Caenorhabditis elegans: one gene and its partners. The protein of the gene in region 2 purifies or fractionates together with the protein of the main gene of each other region. This does not show direct contact. Each region holds a gene or a part of one and is shown on either strand. Other genes may lie near its edges.

Region 1 (3,879 bases), on a different chromosome or scaffold from region 2:
ATAATTATTCTATAAAGAAAATTAACTTTGTTGAAAATTCTAAAATCTTATAAATACGGTTGATCAGTTACCATGTGTTTGTTACTATTTGTCAGACAGGTAAATTTTTTGAAAAACATAGCCACCAAAATAAAAACACGCAACAAAGTCTCACGTGGTCATTAAGCACCAAATTTGAAACTAGTCGCAGTAACATGGAAGGTTATCTTTCCAGTAAAACGTCATGCCACTAATGTTTGCTGCAGCTACGCAACTTGAATTCCATGTTCTTATCAGATAACACGTTGTATAGTCAAAAATCTAATGTGATGTCTGTATCATTGTGTTTGTCATGATCTTTTTGTATATTTTAAAAACCTATTTTCAACTTTTAATGTGATTTTTGTAATTCTTGAAAAAAGACGACCGTCAAGCATTATGAGGGACAAAAATTCATCTACGAAACATTTACTAAAAATTTAACGTTTAAAAAATTATTTATACTCCAAACTAGGTATTTTCCTTGTTTATCCGAGAAAAAAACTAATAAGTACGTAATCCAAATAAGCATTTGGCAAAATTGAAGATTTAATTAAACTGTCTGAAACGAGTAACTTATCGGAAACAGTCGTAAATTTCAAAAAACATTCAATTCTTTTAAACTGGGTGTCTTCATAAAGTTTGCAAAATATACGAACAACAGAGAAAATAAGGCAACAATCGGTGAATTCATAAAATAAATATATTATACTTTTTTTTGAAGTTTATGGTAAACTTTGATTATTTTCTATTATTATTTTCGATTGTTTCCCACTTTTTGTTATGCTCTGAATATTACAAGAAAAGTGAAATACATTTTGGTACGTGTGTATTTTATTTTGAAAGTATATTGAAGTTTCTACAAAGAATTTTTTTACATTTTATATTAAAAAGATTTGAAATATTTCATATGGTTTTTGAACATTTTTTGATGTACAGCAACCACATAAATTTCAATTTAGAAGTAAATTCTAACAATAAGAATACACGTTTTTACTATTGTCAAATACCTGAGTTCAATTTATTCTATTTTTTTCTCAAAATGATATTATCCTATTCCATTCTCCAATGGTATCCTTTAAATGAGTGTAATCTCTCACCCGCAGTTTTCCGGACAATTAATTGTACTGTCCTTCCCGAAGACCAGCGCCAATGATAAAAAGATGACGTCTTGTTCACGGGAAGACACGATACTGAATGGGTCATCTTTATATCCAGGGAAAAGATTTAGGTCAACAGCAGCAGCCCGTTTGTCCTTGTAAATCCGATCGGGCTGACGGCGCCCAACGGCACTACTCACAGATTTCTTCACGTTCAGTTCTCCCTGTTTTGTACTTTTTGGATTCTAGTCTCGTTTTGATGTCTTGTTTGATTTAAACCGTGTTTGATAACTAAGTAAATAGGTGTAGTTTATTTCAAGGCCTTTGAAAAAGTCAATCAATTTGCAATTTGAAAACCGCTTCGAACTTTTTAATCTTTTTAATCTATTCATTAACCTAAAAATTTCAACGCTTTCTTATTTCAGAAAATGTCTCTTCAAGAAAAGTTCGACGCTGCTGTGGAAATCATCCAGAAACTTCCAAAAACAGGTACGTTGGACTTTGATTCGCTACAATGCTACAAACTATGCTATGATGTAGTTGATTCAAAGCTAAATTTACAATTTTTCTAGGACCAGTTGCCACCAGCAATGATCAGAAGCTTACCTTTTACTCTTTGTTCAAACAGGCTTCTATCGGAGATGTGAACACCGATAGACCAGGAATTTTCTCCATCATCGAGAGAAAGAAGTGGTCAGTTTTTTTTTTCATTATTCCTTTGTCTGATTCGAAAAAGGGGAATTCTTTTTTTCTTATTTCATTGACAAATGAGTCATGACCGCGTGGCTAGCTAAACTGCATCAGAATTGCGTGAGTTATGTGTGTTGATTTTTTGACCGCAATATATATTAACTTATCGCTATGCAACAAATGTCGGCGTTGTGTCTGCAAACGATGCAATTATCATTTTCTTCGAATATGGTGCCACAAAAAACGAGTAGGAACGGATGATTGTGAAATTATCAATAAAAAGTTTTGAAGAAATGTAGAGTGTCGTTTCTGATCATTGGTCTCTTCAAAACCATAAACTATGTTTGAAATACCCCTTAAAAATAACACGAAGCCTGTATTAATGTTTTCACGTTTGTAGAAACATGGATTCAAAAAATAATTCCGTTCATGGGTACTTGTGTAGTTACTGTATCCCACAATGTATGCAATGGATAAAATTCCAAAATGACCACAACGTAAATAACCATTTTAATGCTCAATTCATTTTTAGGTTTAGATTTTTCCTAAGTCTAAAATTCAAAAAGAACTCATATTGTATTTTTGAAAAAAATTAAAAAGATTTTTTGGTGTACTGATATTACACAAGTACTCGTTCATGAATAAAAAGAACGAACCCATCAAACATATGTGTTGGTGGAACATTATTTCAATGCTGGCGATAGTGAAGGTTTTATTCTAAAAGGCAATAATACAAAAAAGGCAATTTAAATACAAGTATTATTTAAAATCAGAAAGTTTCAAAAGAACGAGTGATCGTATCTAATTATAACAGTCGTGATTTTGAAACATCCATAAAAAGGTAGTATATCTTGTAATGTTTTCTATTTATTTCATTGGCTGGCGCTAAAAAAAAAGTTGTAAAAGTGTGGAGTGCTAAGATCGCAATTCTAAACAGACTGCTGGTATAATTTTTCAAACACCGATTTTTAGTGCACTTTTAATAGTACACATTTCTAATAAAATGTACAATAGTAATTGAAAAAGTTAGATGGGTCAGTTCCAATAACTCAAAATAGTTTAACTACTTGTCTGAAAATGGTACGTTGCGACTATTGATGTTGAAGCCATGTAAAAATAACAATTAATTCCAACTGGCTCACAGTATTTACTGGCATTTTCCTGACCAACCCCAGTTAATCCGATTTCCAGGGACTCATGGAAAGAGCTCGAAGGAGTGTCTCAAGATGAAGCTAAAGAGCGTTATATCAAGGCTCTAAACGACATGTTTGACAAAATCGCCGAGGTATGTGAATGGGTCTTGTCGGCAAACGTTTGAAGTTTTTGTAGCAGAAACTAGTAGTTACGTTCAGAATTACTTTGTTTTCAGGAACTTGATGTTGCCGCTTGGCTTGAACAAATTGACCCAGTCATCAAAACCAACCTCGCTCTCATTGGAAAGTAAATCTTAATTATCATAAACATTTTTTTTTCAAATTTCGAACAATATAATTATTTGTATTGCTTCTTGATACTAAATAAATATGAATTAATTTTGTAAATTGAATAACTCTATAGTTTTACTGTACATTGGAAGAATCTTGCATGAAAATGAAAACTATGAATTGCATTTGTAATAGTGAAATTTGAACATTGTATGTATACATAATTTTTATTGCAGTAGAGTTGAAACTGTGAATAAATTTTAAATCCACAATATAAAATAAAAATGAAAATCAGACGAGCACCCGAGAAGGAAATTAAATGAATTCGGAATACATAAGAGATCAACATAATGTTTGTGTGTAAGAGATAGTTCAATAGAAAGCACGAGGTTAAACATTTCAGATAAAACATTGCAAAGGTTATAAGCGTTCCTTTTTATCCATTTCCTCTCTCTTCTTGTCTTCCTGGTATGCAAAAAACTGAAAAGTGCGGTAGACAACATGCAAAAATATGCAATTTATGACTATAACAAACGACATGGCAGCCATCACACCCAGTGTGACCAGGATTGCAGCTGAAAAATTTTGAAGTATAAATATTCACAAGTAGTATAATCGTTCTCACTGGTAACACTTTCTCTTGATCG
Region 2 (4,656 bases):
GGAAAAAATCTGAAAAAGGCAGAAATTGTTTTTAAATTTAATTTAAATTGTATCCGGAAAAAATCTGAAAACGTTGATTTTTTGAAAATAAAATCATTGAAGTTTTTTTTTCGATTTTCAAAAAAATTTATGGAAAAAAACTTTTTGAAATGTTAAAAAATCTATTTTCAAAATTTCAAAAAAAAACCAAAATTATGTTTTTAAAAATATAATTTTTTTGAAAGTCAAAAACACTGTTAAATTCTCGTTTTTTCAAGAAAACGTCTCTAGAATAGGAATTAATTTTCAAGAAAAAACTTTTTTTTAATACCTTTTTTTTTTTAAAGCGGAGTAACTATTATTATGCCAAAAAATATAAAAATTCTCATTTTTCGATATTTTCTTTTTGGAAAAATTATCTGAAACGTTTTAAAAATATTTTTTAACTAAAAAAAGCAACTGTATAGAATAGAAAATAATTTTCAAAAAAAAACATTATTTTTTTAGAAATACCAAAAAAAAATTCAAAATATGATTTTTTTTTTCAGAAAATTTTCAAAAAAAACTGAGTAACTATTTTTATTTCAAAAATCTAAAAATAATAATTTTTCGTTATTGCTATGCCGAAAAATCTATCTGAAAAGTTGAAAAAAAAACATTTCTGAAAATTGAAATTTTTTTATAGAAAAAAAGGTTTTTAAAAACCAAAAACTAAATATTTAGTCAAAACATTCATCTGCACAAAATCGAAAAATTCCAATTTTTTCCAGATCAAAACCCTCGCTGATCTCTTCTCATTGAACATCACCGCATCTCATCTCTCCGATTTCATTCCATCCACCTCTGCCGATTTCATCAAAGATCTGTCAACATTCAATTTCGGAAGAAAATAACACCGGTCATCACTAGACACATCAAATAATATTTACTCATACTGCATTCTGTTTTATAAATTTCATTCTTCAATTGATTTTTCCATTTTTTAATTTTTCAATTTTTCAAAATTTGTTTCATTGAACTTCAGAGGCTCCAAATGCTCCAAATGTCATACTTTTGTTATAGTTTGTAGTAGCTAGACACTTGGTTTACGTTATTTTAGTTCTAATTTCACATTAATTTATATTATCCAACTTCTAGATTCTCAAATTACCATCAAATGTTTATACTTTCTTCTGCACCATCCCAAAAATTTCGAAATTAATATGATAGCTTTCTCTAGTAAGGGTTTGATCTAGGGGTCAATTCTACAAAGTGATCATATTGCACCATATTTTCGGAACATTTTTTCTTCAAAAATATGAAAAATCACCTAATTTATCTGAAAATGACATTTATTTCAGTTGAAATAATTGGGAAAGTGCTCGATTTTCGGAACATTTTCACAAATATGCCAGCTGAAATAAATTTTATTTCAGATAAATCAAGTGATTTTCTATACTTTTTTAAATAACAAATGTTGTAACAACATGGTGCAATAGATCATTTTTTAGAATTGCCGTTTTGATCCCACTGGGCAAAGTGGTCAATGATAACTGACCACTTTGCACTGTTTAGTTGATGGCAACGTGATTATTATCAAAATTGGAAAAGGAAACAGAAACAATCGAATCAATTTTCACAGAGGCAGCCGCAGCAGCAAAATACAGTGAAAATAAAAATGAATTTGTTACAACGTGCGTTGGTGTTTACTGGAGGACATATCAGTCGATATCAGGCAGTGATAGCGGTCAATTCAGTTGGCAAGAACGCGCGATTCTACTCTACTACCGACGATAATATGGCTGCTCCCGAGGAAAGTGTCGTGGCGAAGGATGAGGTGAATTTTTTGGGTATTTCCAGTGTAAATTTGAATATTTCAGTCAGAAATTAGCCCTAGGGCATCCCAGTTCTTAAAAATTTGAAGCGATATTTTCGGTGAAAGAATTTGAATTTGTCAAAAGAAAAATTTCCAGTTAAAACAAATAAAAATTAGCCCAAATGAGAACATGCAATTAAAAAAATATTATCTACCCGCAAAAAGTTCAATTTTAACAAGAAAAAATACGGCCTTAGGTCCTGACGCGAGCGAGACTGTTCAGCTACCGTACCAGCAAATAGCAAAAAATTAAAAATTACAAAAAGGTACTGTAGCTCAATTTCGAGTGAAAAATCACAATTTTTTTCTATTTAAAAAATTCAAAAGCGCAATTTTTCAGATGAAACGCTTCATGGTGGAATGTATGACAAAAGTCGGAGCAACCGAATCCCACGCCACACAGCTCGCTCTCGTCCTTCTAGAAGGAGACATTCGAGGACATTACTCTCACGGGCTCAATAGATTAGGTACATGATTTTTAAAAACTCTCTCTCTCTCTAATAATATATAATTCCAGACATGTACGTCCGAGATATCGAACAAAACGTGTGCAAAGGAGACGGGGAGCCGATTATTCTGAAGGAAAAAGCCGGAACCGCGTGGGTCGATGGAAACAACCTTCTCGGGCCAGTCGTCGGAAATTTCTGTATGGATTTGGCAATTGAGAAGGCTAAGAATGCAGGAATCGGATGGGTTGTAGCGAAAGGATCCAATCACTACGGTATTGCTGGATGGTACGCGTTGCGAGCGATGAAGAAGGGAATGTTGGTGAGGGTTTTTTACTCCAAAAATATTAGAGGTCTCGACACGCAAAAGAGTGTGTGCCTTCAAAGAGTACTGTAACTTCAGCATCTTGATTTTGCGGAATTTTCTGTATTTTTTCGATAAAAAAACTACATACTTATCTATTTAAAAACTAAAATATCGCACATAAGATCTACTTTTAAAACGAGGGGTTTGAAACTACAGTAATCTTTAAAGGCGCACAGTTAGCAAAAATGTATCGTTTCAAGCAAAACTCGCAGAATTCTTGAGAAATATTCCAATAAAAAACTCAATTTTCAGGGAATGTCCATGACGAACACCTCGCCAATTTCCTTCCCGACCAGAAGCGCCGTCCCCGCACTCGGAACTAATCCAATCAGTTTAGCAGCTCCTGGAACTGGTGATGACTCTTTTGTACTTGATATGGCTTCAACAACAGTTGCTATTGGAAAGGTATTAATTGGAATTCTCAATTGGGGAAAAAGCGACGGGTGGGGAGTGTGGGGGAAATTGTTGAAACGAGTACAGCGGAACTCTGAAATAGTCTGCGAGAAAAACAGTAAAAGCCTAAAACGACTAGAGATCGGGCCAAATACGGAATAAACAGGAGGTTCACAGAAAAAAAGAGGGTACTGAATAGGGGGATGTTTAGACGTTTTTTTTAAATGTCAGCTGCACCACATCGATGTGATCGTGAGCAAAGAGAGCCGCACAGAGACAGAAGTAGAACTGCCATCTGCGATGGAAGCCGAATGGCAAGTTCATCTTTTCGATCTCATCCTTGGCTTTCATCCAGGCGCTGGAATTCAAAACTTGCTTAGGATTCAGGAAAGTAGGCACAAAATCCGCCTAGGCAGGCAGGTGAATATGTGTCTACCCCAATCTGAACTACACTACTTACAAGAACCAATGCTCCAAAGTCATCGAATAATGATGTCCCATACTGAATAGATCGGTCTGTTTCAAGGTCTTCGGGAGGGATTGCGAAATGGCACCGAGCGATGGCAGATGACCTCCAGGGAAGATGTACTTCTTAATGAAATCAGAAGACGAACGGTACTGATCGTAATAGGCGTCTGGACAAGTGATGGCCTGAAAATTGGAAAATTTGATGTGATGAATTGAGAAAGTCTAACACGTTTTCTCAAGTGTTTTCTTGCATCTCTACCTGAAGAGCGGCGATTCCACCATCGGTCAAAACATCGTTGATGATTTGGAAATATTGAGGAAGGTACTTCTCACCGACAGCTTCGATCATCTCGATTGACACGACGCGGGTGTACTTCTCCTTGACCAATCTGCAATATTTCAAATTTAAAAATTTAAAACAGAAAGCTTCTCACCGATAATCCTGGAACTTCAGCTCAATCCGTCCCTCAAGCCCTGCCTCCACCACCTTCTTCTGTCCCCACTCGAGTTGTTCTTTAGAGATTGTGATACCAGTCCACTTGCAGCCGGATCTCTGAACAGCACGAATTGCAGCAGCTCCCCAACCACACCCGATTTCCAGGACGTGATCGTCGGCCTTCAACTCGAGTTGATCGATGAGACGATCAATTTTCTTGTATTGAGCCTTCTCGAGCTCCACAAAGTCCACATCAGTGACTGGTTTGACTTCTGAAAATTGAAAATTGAAAATTTAATTTTTTTTAAATCTGTTACACTAACCATCAAAAAGAGCCGAAGAGTAGGTCATAGACTTATCCAGGAACAGCTTGAACATGTCATTTCCAAGATCGTAATGAGCCTGGATGTTCCGAGCACTCTGGGAGATTGTGTTCTCGAGAAGCCAATGCTGGACGTAGTTGACAACTTTCGCGATCTTCCGAACCCCATCGATGGAAAACTGAGTGAGGTGAGATCCGAACGACTTAGTTCTCGGCTTATCTCCGTACTGAGCCTTGTATGCCGCCTGAGTCTGCTTCTTACTGCGAATCAACAAACGAAGGAATTCGGTGGGATTTGGTGAGCACGACCAGTCGTCCGCCATGTACGTCTCGCCGAGTCCCATCTTCGGATCCAAAAGCATGAGCCAGCAGAAGTGAATGGGGTTGTGG
Region 3 (3,331 bases), on a different chromosome or scaffold from region 2:
TCTTTTGTTCTCCCAACTCGTCAGTCTTTTGGGCCCGTCAAAATCTTTTGGTCTTACTGGTACTGTATAGGTATATATTTAATTGTTCATTTTTGAAATGCTGCTTCGTGGTCCAAATAACCTGATACCTTGATATGGATATTTGAAATGAATGTTGCAAATTTAGAATAATTGAAAACCAACAACTATTATTTTTGTTTCAAAGTAAACTATTAATTTCACTGTATTGAATTTCTGTTTGTATATGAACACAATACAAATGCGATAATTTCAGAATTTAAATGAATAAAAAAAGTAAAATCAGAGGAAAAATGGTATCAAAGTCGGAAAACGCACTGATTTTTTATCAAAAAAATATCCTTATAGAAAAATGGAACAATTAAAATTGGTTTTTCCTGTTGTCTCACTTTTGAGTATATTTTCTAACGTTTTTCAAGTAAAACGGATTCAAATTAGAGTTAAAATCACAAAATTCATTTTCAGTGCGATTAAAATCCTGAATCGTTGTTGCGCAGTGTTTTGTTACCCATCCTACACTCTCCCTTTTTTGCCCGCACTCTCTCCACGCGCCTTTTCTTCAAAAATATTGCGCGTCAAATCTGTTATGTGATCTGCATTATGCGCAAACTGTGCAATCACTGCAAGAAAGAGGAAACCGGGAACATTTTTTTGAACGCGGGAACGGAACGGGGCGTGGCTTCCTTGGTCAGTATAAAAGGGAAGAAATCTGGGGCAACTGACATTGTTTTCCATTTTTCCTGCTTATTTTTTCCTTTTTTACGTTGCCGTGACCTCTCTCTCTCTCGCCTATCCTCTCCTTGGCACTCACTTTCCCGGTGCTCATGAATCAAATCATGTTCAAATTAGCTGGTAAAAATGCTGCTTGAAAATAAAATAAAACTAACAGTTCTAGAATGTAGATTGATATCTTACCCTTATCAGTAGACGTTTATAAAATGCGCTTAATTTCGCCTACTACAAACGCACCTCCTAAGTAACACTTTTGAAACACTGAAAATGATACAAATTTCCATTTAAAATTTCGTTATCTCCGAAATACGTCCACGGTGCATGCTTCGAACAATAAAATGTCATCATTTTTTGACCCACAGATTCTCTCTCATTCTCCCCTAACCTCCTGCGTATCATTTATATTTTGCTGGCAAACTATTGCATTTCGGGAACAAGATACACCATTGGTCTCTCTCAAACTGATTCCTACCGACAGCTGCTATCGCTTGATAAAGATGATTTTTTTTGAATATAAATACCGTGAGGCATAAGGTAGATTAAATCAGCGCCCTCAACCCTTTTTTGGAAATAACTTGAATAGTGTCAAGGTTTGTAAGATTTTCATCAGCCCTCCCTCCCCTCTTAGCATTCTCTATTTCTATTTCCGTCTGATCAAATATAGCACAATCGTCTGTTAGTTATCAAACTTTGGACAATTTTATTTGCCGATTTTCTTTTACTCTATACTTTATCACCTCGTTTTGTTCTCAAAAATTTCACATTTCTATTTTTTCAATTTTAGAATCTCCTCAACACTCGGTCCATCACCATGTCTTCCGCAACTGCTTCCATCAAGCTTTCCAACGGAGTTGAGATGCCGGTCATCGGTCTCGGAACCTGGCAGTCAAGCCCCGCCGAAGTCATCACCGCCGTGAAGACCGCCGTCAAAGCTGGCTACCGTCTCATCGATACCGCATCCGTATACCAAAACGAGGAAGCCATCGGAACTGCTATCAAGGAGCTTCTCGAGGAGGGAGTTGTCAAACGTGAGGAGCTGTTCATCACTACTAAGGTTTGCAAAAATAGCATCTTTATATTATTTTATACAAATCCGGTTTTACAGGCTTGGACTCACGAGTTGGCTCCGGGAAAACTGGAGGGTGGACTTCGCGAGTCCCTCAAGAAGCTTCAACTGGAGTACGTCGACTTGTACCTTGCTCACATGCCAGCTGCATTCAACGATGACATGAGCGAGCACATCGCTTCGCCAGTGGAGGACGTCTGGCGTCAGTTTGATGCAGTCTACAAGGCCGGACTTGCCAAGGCTGTCGGTGTCTCCAACTGGAACAACGATCAGATTTCTCGTGCTCTTGCTCTTGGATTGACACCAGTTCACAACTCCCAAGTCGAGCTTCATCTCTACTTCCCACAGCACGACCACGTCGATTTCTGCAAGAAGCACAATATCTCGGTCACTTCCTACGCCACTTTGGGAAGCCCAGGACGTGTCAACTTCACTCTTCCAACTGGACAGTAAGTTTAACAAGTAGCTTGTTCCTTTTCTCAACACCTATTTGCAGGAAATTGGACTGGGCTCCAGCTCCATCCGACCTTCAAGACCAAAATGTGTTGGCTTTGGCTGAGAAAACCCACAAGACTCCAGCCCAGGTGCTCCTCCGCTACGCTCTTGATCGTGGATGCGCAATCCTTCCAAAGTCGATCCAAGAAAATCGCATCAAGGAGAACTTCGAGGTGTTCGACTTCTCTCTCACTGAAGAGGACATTGCCAAGCTCGAGGAGAGCAAGAACTCGCAGCGTCTCTTTCTTCAAGATTTGTAAGTTTATAGGACAAAATGACTGAAACTTTAGTAACCCAACTCTTTTTCAGTATGACCGGACACCCCGAGGATGCCTTTGCTGCTGAGCGCAAGTAGATCACCGTCATCCACAACTGGTTCTTCGTTCATCATTTCAAAGTTCAATTTCCCATTCACATTCGTCACACGTTCTCTTTCCTTTTTGGCATGTATTTCTCAGCATGATTGCTTTATTTCAAAAATAAATACGTTGATCTAAATTTTGAACCCCAAAAAACATCACATAAGTCTGTCATCATCTTTGCCAGCCTGTCAGCCCTACCTTCCTTTTTTCCAGTCGAAAAAAAAACTCGAGTCTCCTACTCTGTGAGATAGTTTGGAAATCCCTAGCTCATCTGCGAGGTTTGGACAGAATTTTTCACAATTTGTGGCTCTTCGCTGTAGAGAATTATGCACAGCTACTTTGATGAGATGCATCCAATAGAGCCTGCAGTCGTTCAACATTATAAGAGCCACCAATTTTCAATTGTGGCGTCACCATATTTTGTCTAATTAAAGACGGCCCTGATTGTGAGACATATTCTGAGTTGTACCGTTTCCCTTCAAAAATAAGAATAAGCAATCAATTTGTTTGGCAAACTCATACTATTCGAGGGCTAATCGTAATATTCATTCGAATTTCTCAAGTTTAAGTTCTTAGAAGGTAAAAAACATAGCGATGAAATATTTTTACAACGCACAAACTTGTTTTCTTCTCAAAATTCTCATATTTTGAAATTTCC

What was found. Proteins that work in one complex are often made in the same cells at the same time.
Region 1: the proteins of VF13D12L.3 (region 2) and acbp-3 fractionate together in Caenorhabditis elegans (co-fractionation; one large-scale study listed by BioGRID). This does not show direct contact.
Region 3: the proteins of VF13D12L.3 (region 2) and C07D8.6 fractionate together in Caenorhabditis elegans (co-fractionation; one large-scale study listed by BioGRID). This does not show direct contact.

What each region holds. Positions count from the first base shown.
Region 1 is NC_003284.9:10,901,735-10,905,613, forward strand, and holds acbp-3 (Acyl-CoA-binding protein homolog 3), read left to right. Parts: upstream 1-1,537; 5' UTR 1,538-1,546; coding exon 1,547-1,607; intron 1,608-1,690; coding exon 1,691-1,811; intron 1,812-2,999; coding exon 3,000-3,093; intron 3,094-3,177; coding exon 3,178-3,252; 3' UTR 3,253-3,354; downstream 3,355-3,879. Other genes in the region: F47B10.8 (MARVEL domain-containing protein), read right to left, coding at 3,653-3,807, 3,858-3,879. UniProt on the Caenorhabditis elegans protein: Binds medium- and long-chain acyl-CoA esters with very high affinity and may function as an intracellular carrier of acyl-CoA esters.
Region 2 is NC_003280.10:11,704,409-11,709,064, forward strand, and holds the start of VF13D12L.3 (Malate dehydrogenase), read left to right. Parts: upstream 1-1,600; 5' UTR 1,601-1,636; coding exon 1,637-1,795; intron 1,796-2,174; coding exon 2,175-2,301; intron 2,302-2,351; coding exon 2,352-2,602; intron 2,603-2,899; coding exon 2,900-3,052; exon of another isoform or gene 3,053-3,247; coding exon of another isoform or gene 3,248-3,398; intron 3,399-3,500; coding exon of another isoform or gene 3,501-3,691; intron 3,692-3,767; coding exon of another isoform or gene 3,768-3,897; intron 3,898-3,942; coding exon of another isoform or gene 3,943-4,216; intron 4,217-4,267; coding exon of another isoform or gene 4,268-4,656. Other genes in the region: xpf-1 (DNA repair endonuclease XPF), read left to right, coding at 750-872; fcmt-1 (Cyclopropane-fatty-acyl-phospholipid synthase), read right to left, coding at 3,248-3,398, 3,501-3,691, 3,768-3,897, 3,943-4,216, 4,268-4,656.
Region 3 is NC_003284.9:7,339,975-7,343,305, forward strand, and holds C07D8.6 (NADP-dependent oxidoreductase domain-containing protein), read left to right. Parts: upstream 1-1,534; 5' UTR 1,535-1,561; coding exon 1,562-1,804; intron 1,805-1,855; coding exon 1,856-2,265; intron 2,266-2,312; coding exon 2,313-2,567; intron 2,568-2,620; coding exon 2,621-2,666; 3' UTR 2,667-2,806; downstream 2,807-3,331.